Linked DNA regions of Daphnia pulex. Each later gene encodes a partner of the first gene's protein in a complex. Links are inferred from orthologs where the notes say so. Each region holds a gene or a part of one and is shown in the gene's direction. Other genes may lie near its edges.

Region 1 (11,556 bases):
AAAGTTGTTTTTTTTTTTTTTTTTTTGTTTTTGTTTTGTTTTTTTGACAAATGTGATACACGCTCCAGGCCTGACTTGGCCGTTTTATGGCCCGTTGAAAGGTATAATTTTAAATTTTGTCAAATTTATTTTTCTTTTCGGCGGGATTTAGTGGACAGGCCAAGTTTTGCAGGTGCTCATAAATATTTATAACTCTTGTCGATAAGAATCTGAAAGAAAGTTCTTTCCATTCTGTTCCTTCTAAACGAGTCTGGTGCGTTCGGGGAAGATGACATCAGCAGCATCGTGAAATGCTCACGGCCACCAACGCGTTTTCTCCGACGAGAAATTGCCAACAGGGCACCGCCCTGTATTCATGACCTTTCCATCGAAATCGTGATAATCTTTCGCCCAAACGGAGAAAATGTTTTTGGCGATCTGAATGAGGTCGTGATAACCAAACAGACATTTTAATTTAGAATTCGTTCACCATAAATAATCGGCCCACATATTTCAAAAACGGACATAGCAACGGCGGTATTTAGAAAGCCGAAAAGTAAAAAAAAGGCGCAGTTGTTATTATTTTGTCTGTCCTTCAAACAGGCGTGTAGTCGAAGAAGAAAAGAGCGCTATACATCCCTGACAGATCTTCGGTCGCTAGGGAGAAATTTTACGAGATCGGCACTTTTGTTTCAACAGAGAGAGGAGGCATTATGCTGATTCACTTTCCCAACAAGTCGAACGACGAGTTCTTGCCAAAATTTTAAAAAAGTTGTAACACCGGCTTACTCTCTCCTCCGCTTCTATCCACATACGTCGAAGAATGTTGATCACCACACAGGCTCAACACAGCCATGTGGTAATAATCAGTGTAGCGTAAACGCCTTTTTTTCTTTTTACCATCACGTTGGTTGCTGTAACCCCCCGGTGAAAAATTCTCGGGTTGAACAAACTGTCTAACTCGACAAGCAATGACCGCGCACCGGCCGGTGCTTCATCAACGAATATTTATTATGTTGATAGCCTCAAGTCACTTTTCAAAGAATAAAAAAAAATAAAAAATGAAAGATTGATATACACACTTTTGATTTTAATGACATTGTGCATTCAAATCAGGTCGGTCACGTTCTCGTTCTTTTCCGAGAGAGCAAAAAAATTTCGTTTTGCTTTACAAGGAATGACAGTAGAAATTTCGAAATAGGTACAATTTCTGTTGAATAAAAAAAAAATGACGATCACATTATGATCGCTTTATATTTTTGAAAAAAAGGAGCCCTGTGGCGTTGTTTCAACAATCGTGCTGCAATACAACACCAGAACCACTTTTGAGTCTAGTGATTCGAATTTTATTTTTCCTTAATGTAGCCAACCATGATCGTTCAATCACCCCATTTAATAAGAGAAAGAAGTTATTTTAAGAAATGGTTGCGGTAATGATCTGAATCTCCTCCTCTTAAAAATTAAGGAGACTATGGAAATCGCTTTTTTAGTTTTATTTGGTCGAATCGGAAGATCGAACGTAAACAATGGAGAACCAGTTTGATGAATTTTGATCGAAATCGACGAGCGTAAATAAAACCCAATTTCACACGTGTAAATGTTTTCTCTAGTTAATCCTAAAAGATACGATTATTTCGCAAACACATTATTATCAAAAACAATGTGAATAAAGATATAAAATACTCCATCCGTATTTTATTGCTACTAAGTTGCAATTAACTGCAATTTTGTTTTTATAGAGTTTTCGATTAGCGTGACCAAAGTTTTCTTTTATATATTGTTAAAACAACTAGCATTTAAGTTTTTTATTTGTTTATTTGGCAATAATTGGTTCTCCAACAATTTTTCCAGAATTTTTATTTCAAAACTTGGCGACGCCTTCTGTGCTGCAAGTCCGCCCCTCTTTTGGTTGTTGAGGAACAACTTAGTACACACTGGTTTTGCGGGCCGTAGTCGACGTACTCTACCGCGAAGCAATTGTCACTTTCACTCGGGCTCAGTTTGTTGCTTTGTATCTCATATTCTGTATTAATGTTTGTTCTTTAGAAAGCTCACCTGTAAAACAGTTCTTGTGTGCCACTGTACGTTATGAGTCGAGTCCAATACGTTCTCTGTACATAGGCACACACACACACGTATCTCGTTCAGTAGTACCTGTCTTTATGTGTGTGTGTGTATCATATTTCTGCTCCAAGGTATCAATCGTTTTGTGATTCAACTATCGAGAGTGTAATGTTCAGTTGGCGATAAAAGTGAAGTCTACGTAAAGAAATTTTTTTTTCAGCAGCTGGGCTGTTGATGGAGATCCGTCTGCCAATTTTCGCTCGTCGTAAGAGAAACTTTCTCTCTAATAAGTGTTACCCTCTCCGCACCTGTGTATTTCGTGCTATGCATTAATCCAATGAAGACTCTGCTGTGGTGTTTAATTATCACTTTTAACTTTAAATAAGGAATGCATTTTAGCTAACTGACATTTCTAGCTTGTCATCACGTTCAAGTGCAATAACAACTCTGCAAAAGTTTATTAATCCGTTACTGCCCAGGTGTCAAACCTTTTCTCTCGAAATGAGTCCAGTTCTCAAGCGACCTGTTGTGTTGTTCATGGGGGTGTGTTTTGCCTGTGTGATATTGATATACTACCAGTCCAGTCATTCCCAAGGAAAACCTCACTATAGTGGGGTATGCAATACAGGTGTTGTAATGTGTCACTCATTTATTAAAGATGAATTCAAACTAATTCTCGTTTCAAATTTTCAGAAAATGTGAATTCAGCAGTTATGGATCAAGATGACCCCTGCATATTAAGTTTACTGCGTGGCCAATACTTACACCCTCCATCTAAAAATAAGCTTAGTCTTGAAGCACCAGAGGTTCCAAATCCTTCCATGGGGCAAGCTCAAAGTATACTTGAAATCTTGAAAAATAAGGTACAATAACAGTTTATCACGAAAGGTTGTTCGCATGTTTCAATGTTTATTGTACTGTTGCCCAACAGGAGAATGGCTTTTTTGTGGAATGTGGTGCCTTGGATGGCGAACTTCGTTCAAACACTTTGTTTATGGAACGAAATTTAGGTTGGGAAGGCGTTTTGATTGAAGCCGACCCCAAAAACTTCTTGAAAGTTCAAGAGAAAAATCGTCGAGCATGGACTGTTCCTGCTTGCCTTAGTACCTCCTCCAGTCCTAAGTAAATATTGACACACTTTTTACAAGCTTGACAAGCACTTTAATAATGAGCCTTTCATATTTGTTTGTTGTATGCAGAACTGTAGTATTCAAACAGGCTTTCAATCAAGGAAGAATCTCTCAAAACCAACTCGACGATCAGAATCGAGTGGGAAGCGTCCAAGTCCAATGCTTCCCAATATATTCTATCCTTGCAGCCCTCAACCGAACTGAAGTAGACTACTTCAGTTTAGATATTGAAGGCGACGAATTAGCTGTTCTGAAAACCATACCGTGGAATAATGTCAGAATTCAGGTATACTTTAAAAGCAAAATATATTTCATGTAGATATTTATTAACAATTGTTTATTACGTTTGTAGACCCTGTCAGTCGAGTTTATCCATGACAAAGAGGGTAAAGACCAGATTAGGGAATATATGACGTTGCAGGGCTATGAAGTGGTCAAAGAAGTCACCGACCCAAATTGGCTCGCAAACGATTTCATTTTTAACAAAATTTAGCCTTGAATCTAGCGTTATTGGCTGTTTCACGAGCGATCGGATATGCATCCCCCAAGCTGCTAGAGTGTTACCACATTTTTACTGAGCAAGCAACAAATTAGCTCTGGCATTTTTCCAAAGAAAAGCCGAAAGCTTCCTGGATGGAACAAAAACTCTGTTGTTTCCTCACTCCTGCCCAATTAGAAGACTAATGTTTTTTCCAAACAGTTTTATTATCATTCTTCAAAGTTGGCCAATATAGTTCATATACAAAAATTGCTTTCCTTGGTTTTCTTTCAACGTGCTCTTAGTCCAGCGAAACAGCCGAAGCGTAAACAACAAAGAGATAGCATATAAAATGGATCGATTGTGCTTTTTTTTTGAAATTACACTAATCACATACTCAAGTACTTGACAAAATTGGGCATAGGATCATCTTTACCGATAAACGCAAAATGTGGATTTAACTCTTCAATCTTCTTCTCGATAGACAGATTAGAAAATAACTCATCGTAGTTGTAGCCGCAAATTGTCTGGTGGTTCCACGCTTTTTCAATACGTTCGTCGACCGTTAACGAACTCTGACGGTAATTGACTTCAGACGTAGGAGCAGCAATGGTCATTTGCTCAAACGCTAATTTTCTGCCAGGAAACGTTTTCAAATTCTTTAAATGACTTTTTCCATTCAAATGATCCTGCATGGGTATAGGGCCTGAGCAAGTAAAGTCAACACAAACTTTACATTTGTATGATCCATCAGGTTGCAACACTGAAAATAAAGCAAATAAATGTTACAGCTAATGCAATTTTTTCTGGTGACTTGTGTGGAGTGAATAAGACTTTACATGCTGAAGACACATCGGCTAATGCAATTGGTAAGGAACCACTATTCATTGCTGGTGGAGAGTGAACTAGAGGAGCAGTTGGTTGCCGTTGACCATAAAGAGGTGACTTGACAGCTGTGTTAAACTGAGTGGACTCTTTGCCACGCTGGACGTTTTTCAAATGCTTTTTTCCTATCAAATGCTGCTCAAAAGGTATGTGACCACAACACTCGAAATCATCACAGCTTTTACATTTGAAATTTCCATTGGGCAAGACAACTATGTAAAAAAAATGAACATATTGAATGCTGGTATCAAAACACACAATATAAATTGAATTTATACTTGCTGCTGACATGTCAACTGCTAGGGGCTGATTCATTGTAACAGCTCTCATATGCTTCCCACCAATTACATGGGCATCCCACTGAGATTTTGAGTTCATTTGGACCTTACAATGAGCACAATAAAACTCGGCCATCTTTTCACGACAGTAAATGGTCAATAAATAATTAAAAGGTAAATTAAACTAAGCTATTTGCTAACTGCTTTTTACCTTTATACGTAAGTGAAAAACAGGATTCTGAGTACAATAACGTGGTGTTGTTATCAAATGCAAATATTGTGAATTGTTGACAATTGAACCATCGACTGCCATCTACCAGCGATCAAATAAGCTAGTACGATTTTAATAGCAGTTCCCTATCTCCTCGCCAGTTAGCACTCAGCTCAGCTTGTTGACAGATCACAATTCGACAACAAGGAAAGAAAGACACTTTTTAAAAAGAGTTGAATCCGCACGTTATTGAATCAAATTTCGCTAGTATCAAGAACTTTTAGTAATTCACCGTTTCAAGTTGTTTGATTATCTAACCTACCTCCTAAAAATGTCGGTAAGTGAACTACGTGTATATTTAGGCCTACGTGTTCAGTACTGTTACCTTCATTCTGTTATGAACAACTTTTGAATAGGAGTTAAAAGTCATTCTTTTTTTTTTAAATCTATAGAAAGATTACATATCAAAACACCATACATTGCCGGAGAGGCAATCTAAAATTGACCTTATGATGAGGCAAGAAGAACATGGTCTTGAAGAACAACTTTACTGCATCTGCCGTAGTTCTGATGCTAGTAGATTTATGATGTAAGTCTTCTAGAAACTAAATCTAGTTTTTTTCATTTTAAAAATATATTTTATGCATCAAATTTTCTATTTATTCAGTGGTTGTGACTATTGTGAAGATTGGTATCATGGAGACTGCATAGGTATATTGTATATCTGAACATAACTAAATAATGTAATTGGAACATGCTTAAATTTGACTAGATATTACTGAGGAAGAGTCCCGCTTCATAAAAAAGTTCTTCTGTCCAGTAATGCATTGATTTTTTATTTCTGTATTTTGCTATTTTATTTTTAAAAAATGTATGATTAATTTTTAGAAATGTAGACAAAGGGATCCCAGTTTGACAATCAAGTACAAACAAAAGAAATTAGAACAGGCAGGAAAGGAAGAGGCAGCAAAAAAAGCAAAGAAACGACAGGAAAAGAAGGAATCTACTCCACAATATCCCCATTGTGGTGAATGTATCGCTTGTTATCGAGTAGATAACTGTAACAAGTGTGACGCCTGTAAAGGGAAATCTCGTCAACAATGTAAATATCGAGTCTGTCTTACCTTCGCCCCAAAGGTATTACTCAATTTTAAAAATTTTACGCATAAAATAATTACTAAAAATGCATTAAATATTTACAGCAGAAGAAAGTCGAGATAAAATCTGAAGAAGATGAGCCTGTGGTAAAACCTGTCCTGAAAGAAGCAAACTATTCCGACGATGACGTCTGGGAGCCAAGTCTTCGGAAAGAGAAACCTCCTGTTCCAGCCCCTAAACCATCTCGACATTCAACCAATAAAAAGGTGTTTTATTTTTACTTCACTTCCAATTTCATTCCCTTTAACTAAAATTTCTGTTCCAGGAAAAAACAAAGGGGAGATACCGTTCCTCTGCGACTACTGGGGAACATCGCCGCAGAAAGAGAATTACGTCGTCGACAGATTCTGGAGGTGAAAGCGAAGTTGAAAAATCTCCGGCTCGGAATAAACAAAAAGTAAAGCATACTATTTCTTAAATGGTTTTATGTGGTAATTTATTGTTATTATCAACACAATTTCAGGTTATCCACTGTTATGGTCCCCAATGCATCAACGCTTCCCGACCTGGAAGTAAATATTGCAGTGACCAATGTGGTCTCAAATTGGCTACTACTCGTATTTATCAGGTTAGTTATTTTAATAGTTTTGTAAATAAAAAAACCGTGGGAAAATGTCGTTTTCGTACAGATTTTGCCTCAACGCATTCAAGAGTGGGGCTTAACACCTTGTATAGCCGAAGAGAAGAACAAGAAAGAGTTGGAACAAATTCGTAAACAGCAAACCGATGCCCGTGAAGCTTTGGAAGAACTAGATCTCAAACAAAAGGTTGAGTTTTATCATAGTGTTAAGTTTACTGGCATGTATCTAAAAGATTATGTTGATACCAATGCAGGAATTGGACGTAATAACAGCAAAGGCGAAAAAATTTACAGTAGACATAAACTCTGACGATGAAGCAGATGAAGGTGGAGACGGCGAAACGGAATCGGCCACTGTTCAGTGCGTTACTTGCGGCATCGGTGTTACACGTAAGTAAATGATCATTGGATAGTTAGGGTCAAAAATCATATTCCTTTTTAATATACTTGTTTAGAAACCAATGCCATTCGGCACATGGAGCGATGTTTCAACAAATACGAAAGTCAAACTTCGTTTGGTTCAATCTTCCAAACGAAGATAGAAGGCAACAACATGTTTTGCGACTTTTACAATCCAAATAACCGAACTTACTGCAAACGACTTCGTGTTCTATGTCCGGAGCATTGTAAAGATCCCAAGGTAATTTTCTCAAGATATATTAAGTTCGAATCTATGAAGTGTGACGTCTCCTTTTGTATAGGTCAATGACACTGATGTATGCGGGTATCCGTCGGTACGGAACGTCTTTGATGAAACTGGCGAATTCTGCTTGATTCAGAAGAAAAAGTGCGTCAAGCACAACAATTGGGAGAAGCTAAGAAGAGCCGAGATTGACATGGAAAGAGTTCGCCAGTGGCTGAAACTCGATGAACTATTCGAAAAAGAACGTCAAATCCGAACTGCCATGGCGCAGCGCGCTGGACTTTTACCGCTCATACTTCATTCAACTTTCAATCATGAATTAATGCAACAACAGCAGCAACAGTACGCTGGTCAAACTGGTGTTACCTCGGACAGCTCTGAGGCCTATGCAGCAGCCAATAAAAAACTTGCCATGGAAGACGATACTTAAGGTTGATTTTGTTTACATCATGTGAGGAATATCTCCGAACCTATTGTGGTGATAATAAATTTCATTGATTGATTGTTACTGCGATTTGATATTCAATTTCTAATTTGTAGTTTAATTCTCGGTTTATAGGCCTACTCATGACATTTATTTAAAACAAATTTCATGCCACTTTTTTAAGCTTTTCCCGTCATTGCCAATGGCATTTTCATGTGGCAACCACGCATGTTATTCGCAGCAGCAGGAAGAGGGAAAGGGTTATTTACTTATTTTGGAATTTTAGTCTTTTGTGTGGTTTGACACCTGAAAAGTGAATCTGAAATGGATGCACAATGACATATTTTTATTTTAAACTTGTGACTTTTTTTTAAGCTAACTTTAGCCAACATATTTGGTAAGCAGCACGATCTATTTTCTTACAGCATATTCTTAGAGATTTTGTCTGAGCCGGTTGTCCACTTAGATTATTTAATTTATAGAAATTGTTTTCTGCATTAGTAAATTCAGCCTCCATTTTGCTTCCACTTGCAGTTTAACTTAATTATAATGTAAGATTCCCATATGTTTCAACAATATTTTCCTGTAAGAGAAAGCCATTAAAGTTATTGAAATAATCTCCACGTATGCCCCCTCCTGATGTTGACATGCTAAAAATCTGCAACCATATTTCATCCCCTCTTTTCAAATTGAGTGTCGATTGTAAGGATAGCATCTCAGATTGACTACTCTCATCAGAATGACCAGCTCCCATTAATTCATCATTTTTATATAATCCCATATTGATAAACTGATATGTTGAACCAAATACCATCACTCCTGAAAAGGAAAAGAAATAAGTTCCTGATACAGGGGCTGTAAATTTTCCTGTCTCCAAGTTCATGGCTCCTCCTGTGTTTAGTCTTTCCACTTCGAAAGGAATAGGAATATTTTTTTTCCCAAACTTGGTTTTTCTCTGCACGAAGAAATAAGTTGGCGATGACTTGACGTCTAAAAATCCAATCAATTTCTGGAAATCTGCAAAGGTTGACTCAAATAAATAGATCCGTAATTTGATTATAATATAATTGAGCTTTATACCCGCATCACTGGAAAGCTTTGTAAAGTTGCAATAGACGCTTTTAACCGTTTGAGCTCCCATAATCGAATACAATCCGCTATGGGTGTGTCCGATCCTCCGAAGATCGTCGCAAGATCTAGGTATTTTGTCGAAGTTCTCTGCGCTTGTTTTTCCTGTTCATTTGGATCGCAACATACTTGATAGGTTTTTATTGAGATGCATTTAGCATTACCATTTCTTACCTAATAATCCTTTTGTCAGATTGGCTACGCTGAGCTTGAGACTGTGCCATTCGTCTGTGACTGTCATGTCAGCATTTTGGGCGAAATTCATAGGGATCGACAGGGCGGCGGCGGTGTAACGGATAGACACTTTACGATATTGCAGCGATAGTTGGTCTCTTAACTGTGCCAGTTTAAATCTATTGAGCGACAGCAGTTTGGGAATGAATTTATCACTAGCCCAGATGACGTGGTCTTTACTTTCTCGATAAAATGTTTCGATACCCTCCTTCGTCGTTGAGCCGTGACGGTATAATTCGTTAGTAGAGTTTGCTTCATCTGCAAATAACTCGATGAACTTTGCCACTTCGCCGTCTATTTTATCTGCATGGTGATACAACCTCCGCAACTTTTCTTGTCCTTCCGTGTTCATTTTTTCAAAAATTTTGTTCAACGTGTCCGAAGTTTTATCCGGTCGGTAAAAGTCGTCTGTCCAAAAGACCAAGTCCCAATCGCTTTGATCCTTAATGGTGGCCGTGGAAGAGAAGAGCAAGTTGTTCAACGAGTTATAAACAACCCGTCCCGAGTGAGGTGAAACGATATCCGAGTCCTTGAAAGTATCCATCAAGACATTAGTTGTCGTTTCTGCTAAAAGTTGCTTCTCGTCATTGGCAGTCAGGAAAACTTCTTTTGTGTCTTGACTGAATCTTCGCTGTAGTTTGTTAACCATTTGACTCGAAATGACATTTTCCATGCGGATGACTGTGTCCTTAGTTTCCGTAGTCTGACACGTCCAACTGAAGAGAAATTTTAAATAGTTGAACTGTTCGGGTTTGGAGCGCATGTCTTGAGCGAGTTGGTCGCAAACATTTCGTTCGAAACACGAAAGAGAAAATGGCAGTGATTTGTGGAATTCAAAAGGCAGCCAATTGGTGGTTAAAGAATCAGCTTTTGGTGGTATTGTACTGACGAGTACCACCTTCTCGAAGGGTATCACTTGCACTTGATGAGGTTGAACTTCGTGATCGACTACTTTGCTTAAATACTTCACCACTTCGCTTTCGACGATATCGTTCCACATTTCAATGCGGAATCGAATCTCCTGGAGCATCGTGATGTTGTTGAATTGACTGACGGCACTTTGGTGATCTAGCAGGGCGATGGGAGCGTAGAAAAACTTGTTGTTGCTTTGGTCACTTTTGTTATTGCTTGCGTGTTGGTAAATGTTCACTCGAAAACTGCCGTAGGGCATAGAGCAAAGTTCAGTAGGAGATATTTGCAGTTTAGTCCATGGCGAAATTTTGGAAGTGTTGGATGGGCAGACATTCACCAGTACCAAAATCGAGACGAATAACGTAGTCCACATTTTAGTCGTGTGTGCGAATTCTTCTTTATTTTGAAATTTCCAAGATTTAAAAAAGCAATTAAAAGTCGAATGGGATGTTAAATGGAGCACGATGGAGCACGAAATAATCAGTTACTGTCGTTGAGAACGGTCAAGTTTCAACTGTTCCCTGTTGTTGACTGTGTCTATACTGAATAGGGTCACGCCGCTAGGTTTCCGCTCATCATTCAAAATATTTAATGGGAGTTTCTCCTTTCTAAATATTTTATTTGGTGTGAATCATAATTTTTTTTTTAAATATTGCAAGTTAAATATGTCATTTATGTCATTTTTGTGTCAAATGTTTAGATACTCTCACTTTCAATTTAGTGAGTAGTATTCTGGGAAGCAATCAATAACAACACTGCTGCGGGGGAGACTGATGAAGCATATATATGAGAACAGAGTTGTTACATTCACGTAGCCACCAGTCCCGCCACGATGTTATACATCTTCCCATCCAGGTAAAAATATTTAACTTGTTTAATTTAAATTCCAGTATTAATCAATGTTTCAGTTTCATTATAGAAGAAAGGACATCTATCTGGTGGCATAAGACATGCAACTATTTCCTAGATTTCCTATTACGAGGGGAACATCAACAACGTCATCGCAGGTCTTCTTAATGTAAGTGCTTGCATTCACTGCCCTTTCGATCGTCATGTAACTTTCCTTCCTTTAGTTTATTGGAAAAAGGAATAAGATTAGTGAATTATTTGCATAACAGTTTTATCCATTCTTCTCTCAGTCAATTAAATGATTGATTACATTTCTATCTACTCGAGTATCCATTCTTGTGACTATTTTAAATTCATCCAGATAGGAATCTACTTGAAAAACTTGTTTAGTAATGAAACTCGTCAATTGATATTAGATTTTAACTTTTTATCTAAAGAATTTAAATAGTGAAAGGATAAAAGCGTTTTGATTATCTGATTTCCGAAATTAACAGCGAATGTAGTGCGTACGAAAGGCAACTTTTCAATCCAAATGAGTCATTAAGAAAAATAATAGACCCCAAAACCTAATACGTTTATTTGCAACGCAATTTCTCTCATATA
Region 2 (11,148 bases), on another chromosome or scaffold:
GCTGCTCCCTTTTCACCGACGTGGAATCTTACCTGATCCGTCACGTCCTGGAGAAACTGGCTTACGTGGCCGGGCCGGACACTAATTCCTACAACGCCGAACTGAATAAAGCAAAGAGTGATCCATCCTCTGTCAGGGATTCCGTCGATTTGAAACCTTTCAGCAACGGCCAACTTCCCTGGGAGTAAGTTTAGAAACGTTTTCTTGCTATGTAAACTATTTCTGGATAACAATGTCTTCCTTTTCTTGTTAATGATTAGTGAAATTTCACTGGAACTGGGTCGTTTCCAAGTAACCGAAGGTCTTTTCCATCCCGAGGCTTGGGGTTTGGACAATCCCGGAATTCAAAAACTCGTTCACAAGGCCATCCAAGTAAATAAAAATATAAAAAAAATGAAACAAAACGTAGTTAAAAGAGACGATTTCCAACTATTTCTAAATTGTTCAACCGAAACAGGATTGCAGTGTGGACATTCGTAAAGAAATGGTGCGCAGTATCTTTCTAAGCGGCGGCGTCACCCTACTGCCCAACTTTCCCGAACGGCTCGAGGCTGAAATAGATCGAATCACTCCATCGCATCTCATTCCAAAAGTAATATTGGGCCCATTCCATTTGTATGTTGGACTGTACTTAAATTGTAAACCACTCATTGACACAGGTCCACGCTTCGCCGTATCGCTACCACGCCGCCTACCTGGGCGCTTGTGTTTTGAGTAACTCGTCGACCTACGAGCAATCGAAAATCAGCCGAGACGAATGGCGAACTAACGGCCCCGACAGTGTCCGTAAATGGAAGCCTTAAAACATTTCTAAAATAGTTTCGCCCTGTTGGTTTTTTTGTTTTCAAAATCCCATTTCAATTTTTAAGTATATATTTAAGAAAAGCTAAGAATCGATTCGTGCTGGTCTTTACCCGTCCGCGCCCAATTTCCCTTTGTTTAAAGATGGATTATTATACAATCGAAATATGAACATCGTACTCGGTAGAGGTGGGCGGTTTCCTCCACAAAGAAAAAATTAATTTTTTTTTTTTAATGCCGATTACAATCTGAATTTTCTACCTTCATTTCCTGCAGAGTGTATCATACATACCGCTTCGTTTCTATTGAGAGGAAACAAATAAAATTGCTTTCGAAAAGGCTGCACAACCCTTTGATTTTATTCGTCAAAGAAAATGAACAGATTTCCTTGTGAGTGGCTGAAGAGGATAATGTGGTTTTGTTGAATGTGAAAGCAAACAAACGGGTGGAGACAGTCGCAAGTCGGCGGTATAAAATAAAAAACCAAGAAAAAGACCCATTCTCCTTTCTCGGAGAAAATAGTGTGGAACAAAGGACCGAAGGATGATTGGAAAACAAAATACTACAGGAATTAAGAGAAATGTAGGGACGACAGTTACCAATCAAAATAAGACCAAAAAAAAAAACATGATGCGAATGTGTTTTTTGTGGGTTTCGCGTGAAAAATGTTTTGAAACGACGCGGAATGCGAAAAAAAAGACGATGATAAGTACTTGCGGACACATCCAGCGGAGCTGTCCCAGGTAACGGAGTTGTCACGTTTCTTTTTCTCTTTTTTCTGTTTTACTCGTTATTATTCTTCTTAACGCGGTTTATCTAGGGCTGGAAGGTATCCATGTTGGCCAAATGAGCGGCGGAGGGCAAGATCACGCTGCCGGGCGTGACGTAATCGCCGATCATTAAACTATTGCTCAACGGGTAATGGGATGTGGCCCCCAATACGAGCTGCTGCGTCTAAAATGGGTTTCAAAGCAATAAAAGTTATTGCCTTTGTGTCCAGGACGTCCAGGTCGTAAATTTAGCATGACGTACCGTTGTGTACGAGTTGCCTCCAATTTGCGACGTTGGGTAAGTGTTGGCTACCTGAGGTCTGCCTCCCCGCGCACCGACTTGATTTTCTGACGAGTGGGAAGATCCGAGTGAAAGGAGACAGAAAGAAAAAGGAGGAAGTTACTTGACACGTTCGCAACCACACGTCAAACCAAATAGTTACCAACTCTCTTTCTCTTTTTAACAACTTTTAACTGGCCTTAATTGGAGGAAAGCAAAGAAAAGAAAAAAGGAGGGGCTGTAGGAGATGGTATGATCCATAGCGGGAAAGACGTGGCAAAAGTTGCGTACCTAAAATCAAGTAGTGGGTGAGCTGCTTACCCAGACCCAGCAGCGACGAATTAGAGTTGTTGACGCCCGTCACGTCGCTCATCGCAGACACTTCTCCGAGGCCGTTGACCGTCATGCCGTTGACCATGGTGACAGCTGAGAACATGATAAAAAACCGTTTAGCAGATGCAAGTGGTGTTTCATCATTGAAGTGTCGACGTACGAGAAAACGGGTCACACTTACCTTGCCGCGCACCTTGAACGTCGAGCTGGGCCCAGTAGGTTTCACTAGGTGATGCACTGCTGTGACCCGGAGGTGGCTGCGCCGGTTGTCCAGCATAACGGAAGTATGGATTTTTCAGGTCGAGGGTGTTGCTGCTGGTCAGACCAGATCCCTCCACTCGCAAATCAATCGTAACATCGTAACTTTGCCTAAAGGAAAGGGTTAATTGAGTTTCAAGTTTGCAAATAACAGTGAGGGTTTCGAGACTAACCTTTTGTTGGCCAAAAGTAGGACGGTTCCGGTGAGCAGCTGACCCTGCTTGACGAAAATTGGAGTTTCAAGCAAACAGCGCACTTGGTACCAGTGAGTCAACGGTTCAGTGGGTGCAGTGGATAACCAGACAGAAGTCGATGAGCCAAAGAACGCCACGTCGAACCAGAAGGCTAACCCGTGAACTAAGCCAGACTGTAGGGCATGAAATTCGAGCGGGATATCTGAGAACGAAGAAGAAAAAAATACTTTCAGCAACTTGACACCTACCACAACAAACCAATGAAAGTAATACATACCCATTCGGTGAAGATCGGATTCTGACGCAGTGTGAAAGTCTACAACGTGCCTGACGGACTTGGCGGTGCAAATTCGAATATCAAATGTATCAACAATGGGTTGGCGAAAGTATTCCTTCATAGCGGCCGCTCTCAAGCAACTCAAGTCGACTCCGTGGAAGCTTTGCTGGTACCTGGAAATGATAATTATCCGATTATATATACATTATTTCGCAACGCATGAAAAATATTGATTTTACCAAAAGTTGGCTTTATTAAATTGTTCCATGTACAGGGTTTCATCATTAAAGGGAGCTATGTGCAGATCACCTCTTGAGGGGAACATTTTACCTAGATACAAAATTGGTAACTGAAATTCAAGTGAAAGCAATCATGACTAATCTTACCGCCCGGCTTGAGCCACTTCTTAGCGTGAAGAAACGTTTCCAACATTCTTTCATTGAAAAGCATGTAGCCCATGGGTTCAGAAATGATAATATCAACTTTTTCTGGTAATTCAATCTCTTCTATCTTGCCAGCCACTACTTGGATCTGTTCAAGGGAATTGAACTTTGCCAAAGACTACATAAACAAAATGCAATATTTATTAGACAGTTAATTAGAGAGCATGAATTGTGAACTACCTCAGCATGTTGAGCCATGGTAGATGCTTCAACAGCATACACTTTAGAAGCTCCCGATTGGACAGCAAAAAATGACAGAATGCCAGATCCTGCTCCAACATCTAGAACTACTTTATCCTAAAGATAAATTGTCTTAATAAGGTTTCAAACAGTTCAACAGTTATGAACAAAGAGACTTACTCTAAAATCATCCAAGTTGGATAGAATGGCTCTTTGGTATGTGCTTGTTCGTATGTAGTCCTGCATCATGTTCTGCTGCTGAGATAAATATCCATAAAATTGAAAGTACTGTGAGGCTGAAGAGTCTTCTGTTCTTTCTGTGAATACTGACAAATCTTTGCCCAGCTGTAACTTGCCCAATGACTTGTGAAAATTGGATGCATCTATGTAAAGACAACTTTTAACATTCGAACAGAAATGGAGTACAAAGGAAAGCAACTGACCTGTGTCATTTTTGAATGTGAATAATATAGTTTCATAGTCAAATTCAAACAGGTAGCCTTTCTTGCCTACTTTTGAGTATTCTGAAGTTCTTGTGACTGGAAACTCAAATAGGTCTCGTCCGGTTTCTGTGTCATAAAAAATGTATTAAGATATATGGCAATTTGAGCTCTACTAATTGACATTTCCCACAACAGAACACATGTCCGTCGTCTGGCTTCGAACTGTCATCATTGACAATAGTTAACACTACCTGATTGAACGGTGATGCTGATTCCATTCGGATCGTAGCAAGATTTCAAAACGACAGGTTCTTCATATTTCGGCTTAGATTGACCAGAGTCTGACAGGGACGAGACAATCACACCGCTGAACGCGTCAGCCGCCATTGTTACACTATTGAATAGGTACTAAAATGAGCTGCAATGCCTGCAAAAAAAAAGCGAGTGCCGAGTTCTTTGCGCGTCCCTCGAGTACAGACGACAGTAATGAAACCGTTACTCAAGTTGCACTAGAGCTGGAAAAATCAGAGAGATTTTCGCACGCGGTCGACTCGTTCTTTCTCCGTTGCCAGTTGCCACTTTCTTGTTTAATCACTTTAAGACAAGATTTAAATTTAGCATAAATTAAGATGGATTTTTTAACTACAATAATCCATTATCGTAGCGAGACTTCTTCAACAAGATTGCGCAACGGCGCAACTTGCAACATGCATTTCGCACACTTGAGTGCATTAGCGCCACTGTAAACAATAACTAGGAACCCACAAGACACCGCCAAAAAAGTGATTCGTTTCTTATTTTCCTTTTCCTTTGCGAATAATTTGCTGTCTATCACATTGAACTGAATGCACATTAAAGGCGAGATGAAACTGACTGAGCCAGTTGTTCGAAGTTTCAGGGTTGCAAAAGTTTTTAAGGAGAACACAGATCGGATCAACAACATAGACTTTTCTCCTACGGGAGATACGCTTATTTCGAGTAGTGAAGATGATCAAATTGTAATATACGACTGCGAAAAGGGAACGTAAGTGATTAGAATTTTATCAATACCAATGAATAGTTTTCAATTTTTCTATAATTTCACACAGGCAAAAACGGACAGTAAACAGCAAAAAGTATGGTGTTGACCTGGTACACTTCACTCATGCCAAAAATACGGCTATCCATGCATCAACAAAAGTTGATGGTAGGTCTTGTTTAATCAAATTAAACACAATGAACATTTAAACACCTTTTATTTCCCAATAGACACTATCAGATATTTATCATTGCATGACAATAAATACATTAGGTATTTCCCCGGACACACTAAAAAGTAAGTTCTGTGATACCAAATAATTATTACTTCAGGAATCTAAAACGATCTTTATATGTTGATCAGGGTAGTAGCATTGTCAATGTCTCCTGTGGATGACATGTTTCTGTCTGGCTCATTGGACAAAACTTTGAGATTATGGGATCTTCGGTCCCCAAACTGTCAGGGGCTAATGCATTTAACAAGTAGACCTGTTGCAGCATTTGATCCAGAAGGACTCATTTTTGCTGCTGGAGTTAATTCAGAGAGTGTGAAACTCTATGACCTTAGATCATTTGACAAGGTATTTATAGTCTAGTTAAAGTTTTCTATTTTGGTCTATATTCATGGTTTGTTTCATTTTAAGGGTCCCTTTGCTTCGTTCCGGCTTAATACAGAGAAAACTTGCGAATGGACTGGATTAAAATTCAGTCCAGATGGCAAAACAATCCTTCTTTCGACCAACAGTAGCATCATTCGACTAGTAGATGCTTTCCACGGCAACCCAACCCACACATTGACGGTATGCAGCCTTTCAGTATTTAAGAAAAAACATGTGTTCATTTTATTTTTGTACTTTATCAGGGTCATCTTAACGATAAGAAAATTCCACTCGAAGCGTCATTCAGTCCCGATTCCCAGTTTGTATTCAGCGGTTCAACGGACGGTCGAGTTCACGTTTGGCATGCTGAATCGGGTCATAAGGTAGCAAAACAAAATGAAAGATGTTAAAATTCAATAAATGTTGAACTTCTATTTCCTGATCAGATATGCGTTTTTAATGCTGATCACAACGGCCCAGTGCAGTGTATTCAGTTCAATCCCAAGTATATGATGCTTGCCTCTGGATGCAACAACATGGTAAGAACAGATTTTTGAAAACATTTCATTTTGAATAATGCATATTTCTCCTTTCCTGCTTGCTTTTTCTAGGCCTTTTGGCTTCCTTCGGAGGACAATTCATAAAACGACAGTAGCATAATTTATTAAAGTGTTACATGTAAAGTCGTATCCTTAATTGTTTATCATTGTCCAGCTCATCCTTGGGCTCTTCATAGCCATCATTCTGAAATTTAGTTGTGTTTGGCTCGTATCTGTGGCAGTTCAATTTTTGCTCCTGTCGAACTTGCCAATCGGCAATCGCGATACTGGGCCGTGTTCTTATGAAAACTTGATGATAAAGCATAAATAAATGTTTTTTTGAACCCGGTCGATTTTTATCTGCAGGTAGCACAAATGTCAAAGGTTGACGCGGATCATTAAAGACCATATGCGATTGTGTCATATATTTCTTGATATCCGATATTAAATAAGGAGTGCTGTAAGTCAAAGTTGTTTTTGTATGTATTTATAGATGGGGTCACCAACGTTCCCGCTTGCTGGGGTTTGAATTTGAGAAAGCAAGCGAATACTAGGCTGCCTTAGTGCCTTATACACACATACATTTCTCTGAAAGTTTACCTTTCATTCGTTACGTCCTAATTTTCTAAAAAAAGAACGACCTAGCTAACCCTGCCACGCCACCAGATGGTATGGAAATTTATCCCTGTCATCAAGACAAAGTTTCTCATCTTTAGAAAAAAACCTTTATATTTTTCTTGTTATGAAAGAAACTTTTTAGATTGTTTGAAATGCGCCTTTATAAAGTCGCGCCTAAATGGAGAAATTTACTTATTTAACAACGAACCTTGCCACTACTCGTAAGTAATTGAAAATTCTCCGGTTATTTAATAAAAGTTAATTTGAAAAATAATTGTTTCTGCCACTATAGTCATAAGACTTAATTAAAGAGAACGAATGGAATTCTCCGAAAATTTTAAATGACACATATCACTGGATCAGTAGCTATTACTTTCCAACTGGTGTCATTTTTCAGGTTTCATAAAATTATACAGAAAACTCGTTTACGAAAAAGTAGATAAATATATAGCTTGTGCTTTAAAAAAAAGTAATTTGGAAAGTGGGTTTATTTTGTAAAAGAGATACTATTTTGTAAAAGAGATACTATAGACAAGTTCGGGATGCTGAGTTGCACAACCGCAAAATTAGGATCGTGCGCCAACGAGTTTTTGTAACGTTGTGGGGATAGTAGAAAGCGGGTTTTTTATTATTTAAGCATAGAATTACTTATCTAATCTTAGAAATGTTCAGGATTATCGTTGTTTAGAACATTCTGCTTTTTATAGAGTAATTTGAAATGTATAATTCAGCTTAGTTTACCCATTAAAATTAAAGAAAGTCCAAGCCTGGGATGCTGTTTAGTCTTTTCTTGTGTGTTTGAGCTTGTCACTTGTCAGCAGATCTGTCAAAAAACACAAGAAAAGACTAAACAGCATCCCAGGCTTGGACTTTCTTTAATTTTAATGGGTAAACTAAGCTGAATTATACATTTCAAATTACTCTATAAAAAGCAGAATGTTCTAAACAACGATAATCCTGAACATTTCTAAGATTAGATAAGTAATTCTATGCTTAAATAATAAAAAACCCGCTTTCTACTATCCCCACAACGTTACAAAAACTCGTTGGCGCACGATCCTAATTTTGCGGTTGTGCAACTCAGCATCCCGAACTTGTCTATTATCCTAGATCCTACATCGTGAATCCGTGATCCCGATTCTGATTAGTTGATTACTGTAGAGCAGACGTCTCAGTTAGTCAGTCTCACCATTACGCTCACGTGGGATAGTTTGATTTTCTGTTAGTTCTCATTTCCCAGTATTTTTTTTCTATTAGCCACTTTGGTATTCGTTTCTGTTGATATTTTAACGAATGGCAGGGAAAGTCCTCAGAAAGATTTCTTCTATTCTGAATCGTGCTTCAAATTGGTCTATGTTAAACGAACTGTCATCATTTTCTAGTGTCAGAATGAACCAACATCTAGCTATGGATCCTACTCAAGCTCTCCTACTTCAGGAGCAATGCATTTCCGTCGACACTAATGATAGAGCAGTTGGGAATTTATCAAAGGAAGCAGCTCATTTACTTGGTCCAGATGGTCAACTCCCACCTCTTCATCGGGCCTTCAGTGTTTTTCTCTTTAATACCAAAAATGAGCTACTGATGCAACAGAGATCCAATCACAAAATTACTTTTCCTGGTTTGTATGACTACAGCAAAGTAACTATAGTCTAGTAAATGTGTTATTTGTAATAGGTTATTATACAAATTCCTGTTGCAGTCATCCGTTACATAATACAACACCTGATGAAGCTGAAGAAGCTCACCATGTAGGGATCAGAAGAGCTGCTAGAAGAAGGCTTGAAATTGAACTGGGCATCAGTCCAGATAGTATTGAGCTGTCTGATTTTAAAATTCTCACCAGAATCATTTATGGTGCACCTTCTGATGCCAAATGGGGTGAACATGAAGTGGATTATATCCTGTTTTTGAGGAAAGACGTTCCCGTAAAACCCAACCCGAACGAAGTGAGCCGCGTTGTTTTCGTCTCCCTATCCGGCTTTCAAGAATTTCAAGGCTACCTCGAAAAGAATAACATCCCCTTTACACCGTGGTTCAAACTTATTCTCAACAGCCATCTTAAAGTATGGTGGAACCAATTAGATAATCTCGAAAGAATAGAGTATGACCCCGTTATACATAGCCTCTAAATGCACTGACGTTAATGACGTCATTTGTAGAAACTATACGGTTTCAATCCAAACAAGAAACAAAATTATTTATTCAGATGAAAGTGTAGCTTTTCTCATTTATTCAATTATTCATGTACAATTTGACAGCTTAATCTAATGTGGGTTGCGACGGTACCAAAACCTGGCGCGGTAATCGTCTGAGCAGGTGAGAAAAGCCGCCGTACTAGGCGCATGGATAATGTAACGGACCGCACCATTGTGACCTAAAAAAATATCAACAAGATATTAAATGAATTATTTTATCCATTGAATTTTTTCCTCCTTACCAAGCGACAACAACTGTTTGCGTTGAGCTGTCCGAGCATCCCAACAACACAAGGATGTTGTTGCCTCGTCGGGGAACATGACAAAATCTTCCGAATGGTTAAATAGAGCTTGAGCACGGTGCTCTTGTTTGCCTTCATAAACCATAATTACGTTTGATTATTGAATATAAGCCTCATACTTGTAATAATTATCTTACCCATTGTGCCAGCTCCAGTGTAGGCTATAATGCAGCGTAGTGAAGAGAGCTCCCAAAGTTTAACAGATGAATCCGTGCCAGATGAAAGAACATACTGATTAATTAGAGAAAAAAAAACATTGACATACAGTTAAAACCAGTTATAAATATGGGTAAGAAACGACAGTGTAAATACTTTGCCACTGCGAGAAAATGTAACAGATCCAACTTCCGCACCGTCGTGGGCTTGGCTAATGGTACCGACACACTTGTTAGACACTCCGTCCCAGAGTTTTATGGAACCATCTCGAGAACCGGATACATAAAGTTTGCCATCAAAAGAATACCTACGATAAACACATTATAATTTGTTTAACAAATGCTTTCTTCCAATTAATAAATACTTAAGTGAGGTAATAGCGTTGGTGTGATACTGAGACGGAAATGAACAGACGTAGCATTGAGCGGTGTTGGTGTCATACAGACGTACAACGGGCTGATTTGTACCAACAACCAAATAGTCTCCGGTAGGATGGAAAGCCATGCAACGAATTTGATCTGAATCCTATTAAACAAATCATATAAAAATTCAATAGGAACTGTAAGGGCCACGAGAAAAGCTTTTTTGTTACTGATAGTGTTTTGAAAGCTTTCTTTGCCGCTGCTTTACTGAAGTCAAATAATTTAACAGTGCAATCGCGAGATCCAGATGCGAGAATGGCGTCACGAGGATGGAATTCCAGACAGGTCACTTCTTCTACGTGGTCATATAAAGTTCTGATAACAGGATGGCCTTGCTGATCAGTTGCCATTTCTCCATCTGGGGATGATTTAGCCAACATTCGATCAACATCAAGGATCTACAATTGAACTTGTTATTAGGTAATGAAATTGTAGAAAGGTGTTGCTCATGTCACCTTGATGGATGCATCAACACTTCCAGTGGCAACTAACTGACCATCAGGGCTGAAAGCCCCAGATCTACATTGCGCTTTGTGGGATGTTACATATGCAGTTTCATAAAGTGCTGGTTCTGGAGCTGAGGTTTGAACATCAGTTTCATATTCCAAATCCAGTCCTGGACCCAAAAGCATCTCCACTTTATTTAATGGTTTCTTCAATGCTGAAAAATATTACCAAAGATTAAACATGGTTATAAAATTGTATTTCCTATCATTGAATATCGAGTTACTGTGTTCATGCTGAAGTCCTAGCGAGACAATATGATTGAGTCGATCGGATGGGGGGCATGTTGGATGTGCTTGAACTGCTGATGATAGACTGACAGCCAGTGATTGGAAACCATCATAAAATAATTGGCTACATAAAGGGAAAAACACGTCAAGACAATATAACCACGCGTACGATGACTCGAGTACAAACTTAACTATGTTACACTACCTGATAATGAGTCGATAAATTTGTTCTTTAAACTTTATCGCATTTTTAGATTCCATCGCTTCCAAAATTTCGGAGTCTTTCATTTTGTGTGAATTAAATATTCAAAATCGAACGAGAAAAATACAAGAACAAGATTATGTCTTTCTCGAACCAGTGTAAACACAGAAAATGCCGACAAGTAGGATACGATTTCAAGATAACAAACGAGATGGCGCATTGCCGGAAGTTGCATTGTTAGCCGCCAGAGTGTTTAGTGTTGCACCAGCCACGAGACACGGCAGTACAAAGTAGATCAGGGAATAAGGTTGCATCGCGCATGATCTCAAGAATTTCGGCCGGACTACATTTAGTTGGTTTGGCAGGTTTCCCGGTACATGGT

Evidence for each region.
Region 2: CXXC-type zinc finger protein 1-like (region 1) and WD repeat-containing protein 82-like share a complex: the UniProt entries of both Drosophila melanogaster proteins name them as parts of the SET1 complex. The link is inferred for Daphnia pulex from reciprocal best matches to the Drosophila melanogaster genes Cfp1 and Wdr82.

The regions. Positions count from the first base shown.
Region 1 is NC_060019.1:1,598,544-1,610,099, reverse strand, and holds CXXC-type zinc finger protein 1-like, read left to right. Parts: upstream 1-5,190; 5' UTR 5,191-5,356; coding exon 5,357-5,362; intron 5,363-5,477; coding exon 5,478-5,614; intron 5,615-5,692; coding exon 5,693-5,736; intron 5,737-5,797; coding exon 5,798-5,844; intron 5,845-5,913; coding exon 5,914-6,162; intron 6,163-6,227; coding exon 6,228-6,389; intron 6,390-6,448; coding exon 6,449-6,580; intron 6,581-6,646; coding exon 6,647-6,751; intron 6,752-6,812; coding exon 6,813-6,950; intron 6,951-7,017; coding exon 7,018-7,153; intron 7,154-7,218; coding exon 7,219-7,403; intron 7,404-7,464; coding exon 7,465-7,836; 3' UTR 7,837-7,914; downstream 7,915-11,556. Other genes in the region: protein Star-like, read left to right, coding at 2,545-2,671, 2,737-2,906, 2,975-3,165, 3,243-3,459, 3,526-3,666; uncharacterized protein LOC124190992, read right to left, coding at 4,041-4,414, 4,491-4,748, 4,815-4,950, 5,026-5,127; uncharacterized protein LOC124190982, read right to left, coding at 8,375-8,847, 8,911-9,063, 9,133-10,477. UniProt on the Drosophila melanogaster protein: Component of the SET1 complex that specifically di- and trimethylates 'Lys-4' of histone H3. Essential for Set1 association with chromatin and trimethylation of histone H3 at 'Lys-4' at transcription puffs.
Region 2 is NC_060027.1:1,884,575-1,895,722, reverse strand, and holds WD repeat-containing protein 82-like, read left to right. Parts: upstream 1-4,702; 5' UTR 4,703-4,824; coding exon 4,825-5,003; intron 5,004-5,067; coding exon 5,068-5,165; intron 5,166-5,227; coding exon 5,228-5,294; intron 5,295-5,360; coding exon 5,361-5,577; intron 5,578-5,640; coding exon 5,641-5,796; intron 5,797-5,858; coding exon 5,859-5,978; intron 5,979-6,041; coding exon 6,042-6,134; intron 6,135-6,206; coding exon 6,207-6,239; 3' UTR 6,240-6,482; downstream 6,483-11,148. Other genes in the region: uncharacterized protein LOC124207812, read left to right, coding at 1-184, 261-372, 458-592, 660-803; histone-arginine methyltransferase CARMER-like, read right to left, coding at 1,618-1,755, 1,834-1,919, 2,143-2,277, 2,345-2,553, 2,616-2,838, 2,914-3,086, 3,153-3,243, 3,300-3,474 and 4 more; isopentenyl-diphosphate Delta-isomerase 1-like, read left to right, coding at 6,801-6,973, 8,135-8,373, 8,430-8,884; cleavage stimulation factor subunit 1-like, read right to left, coding at 9,020-9,129, 9,193-9,324, 9,390-9,483, 9,565-9,715, 9,773-9,933, 10,001-10,228, 10,286-10,491, 10,561-10,688 and 1 more; protein cueball-like, read left to right, coding at 11,086-11,148. UniProt on the Drosophila melanogaster protein: Component of the SET1 complex that specifically di- and trimethylates 'Lys-4' of histone H3.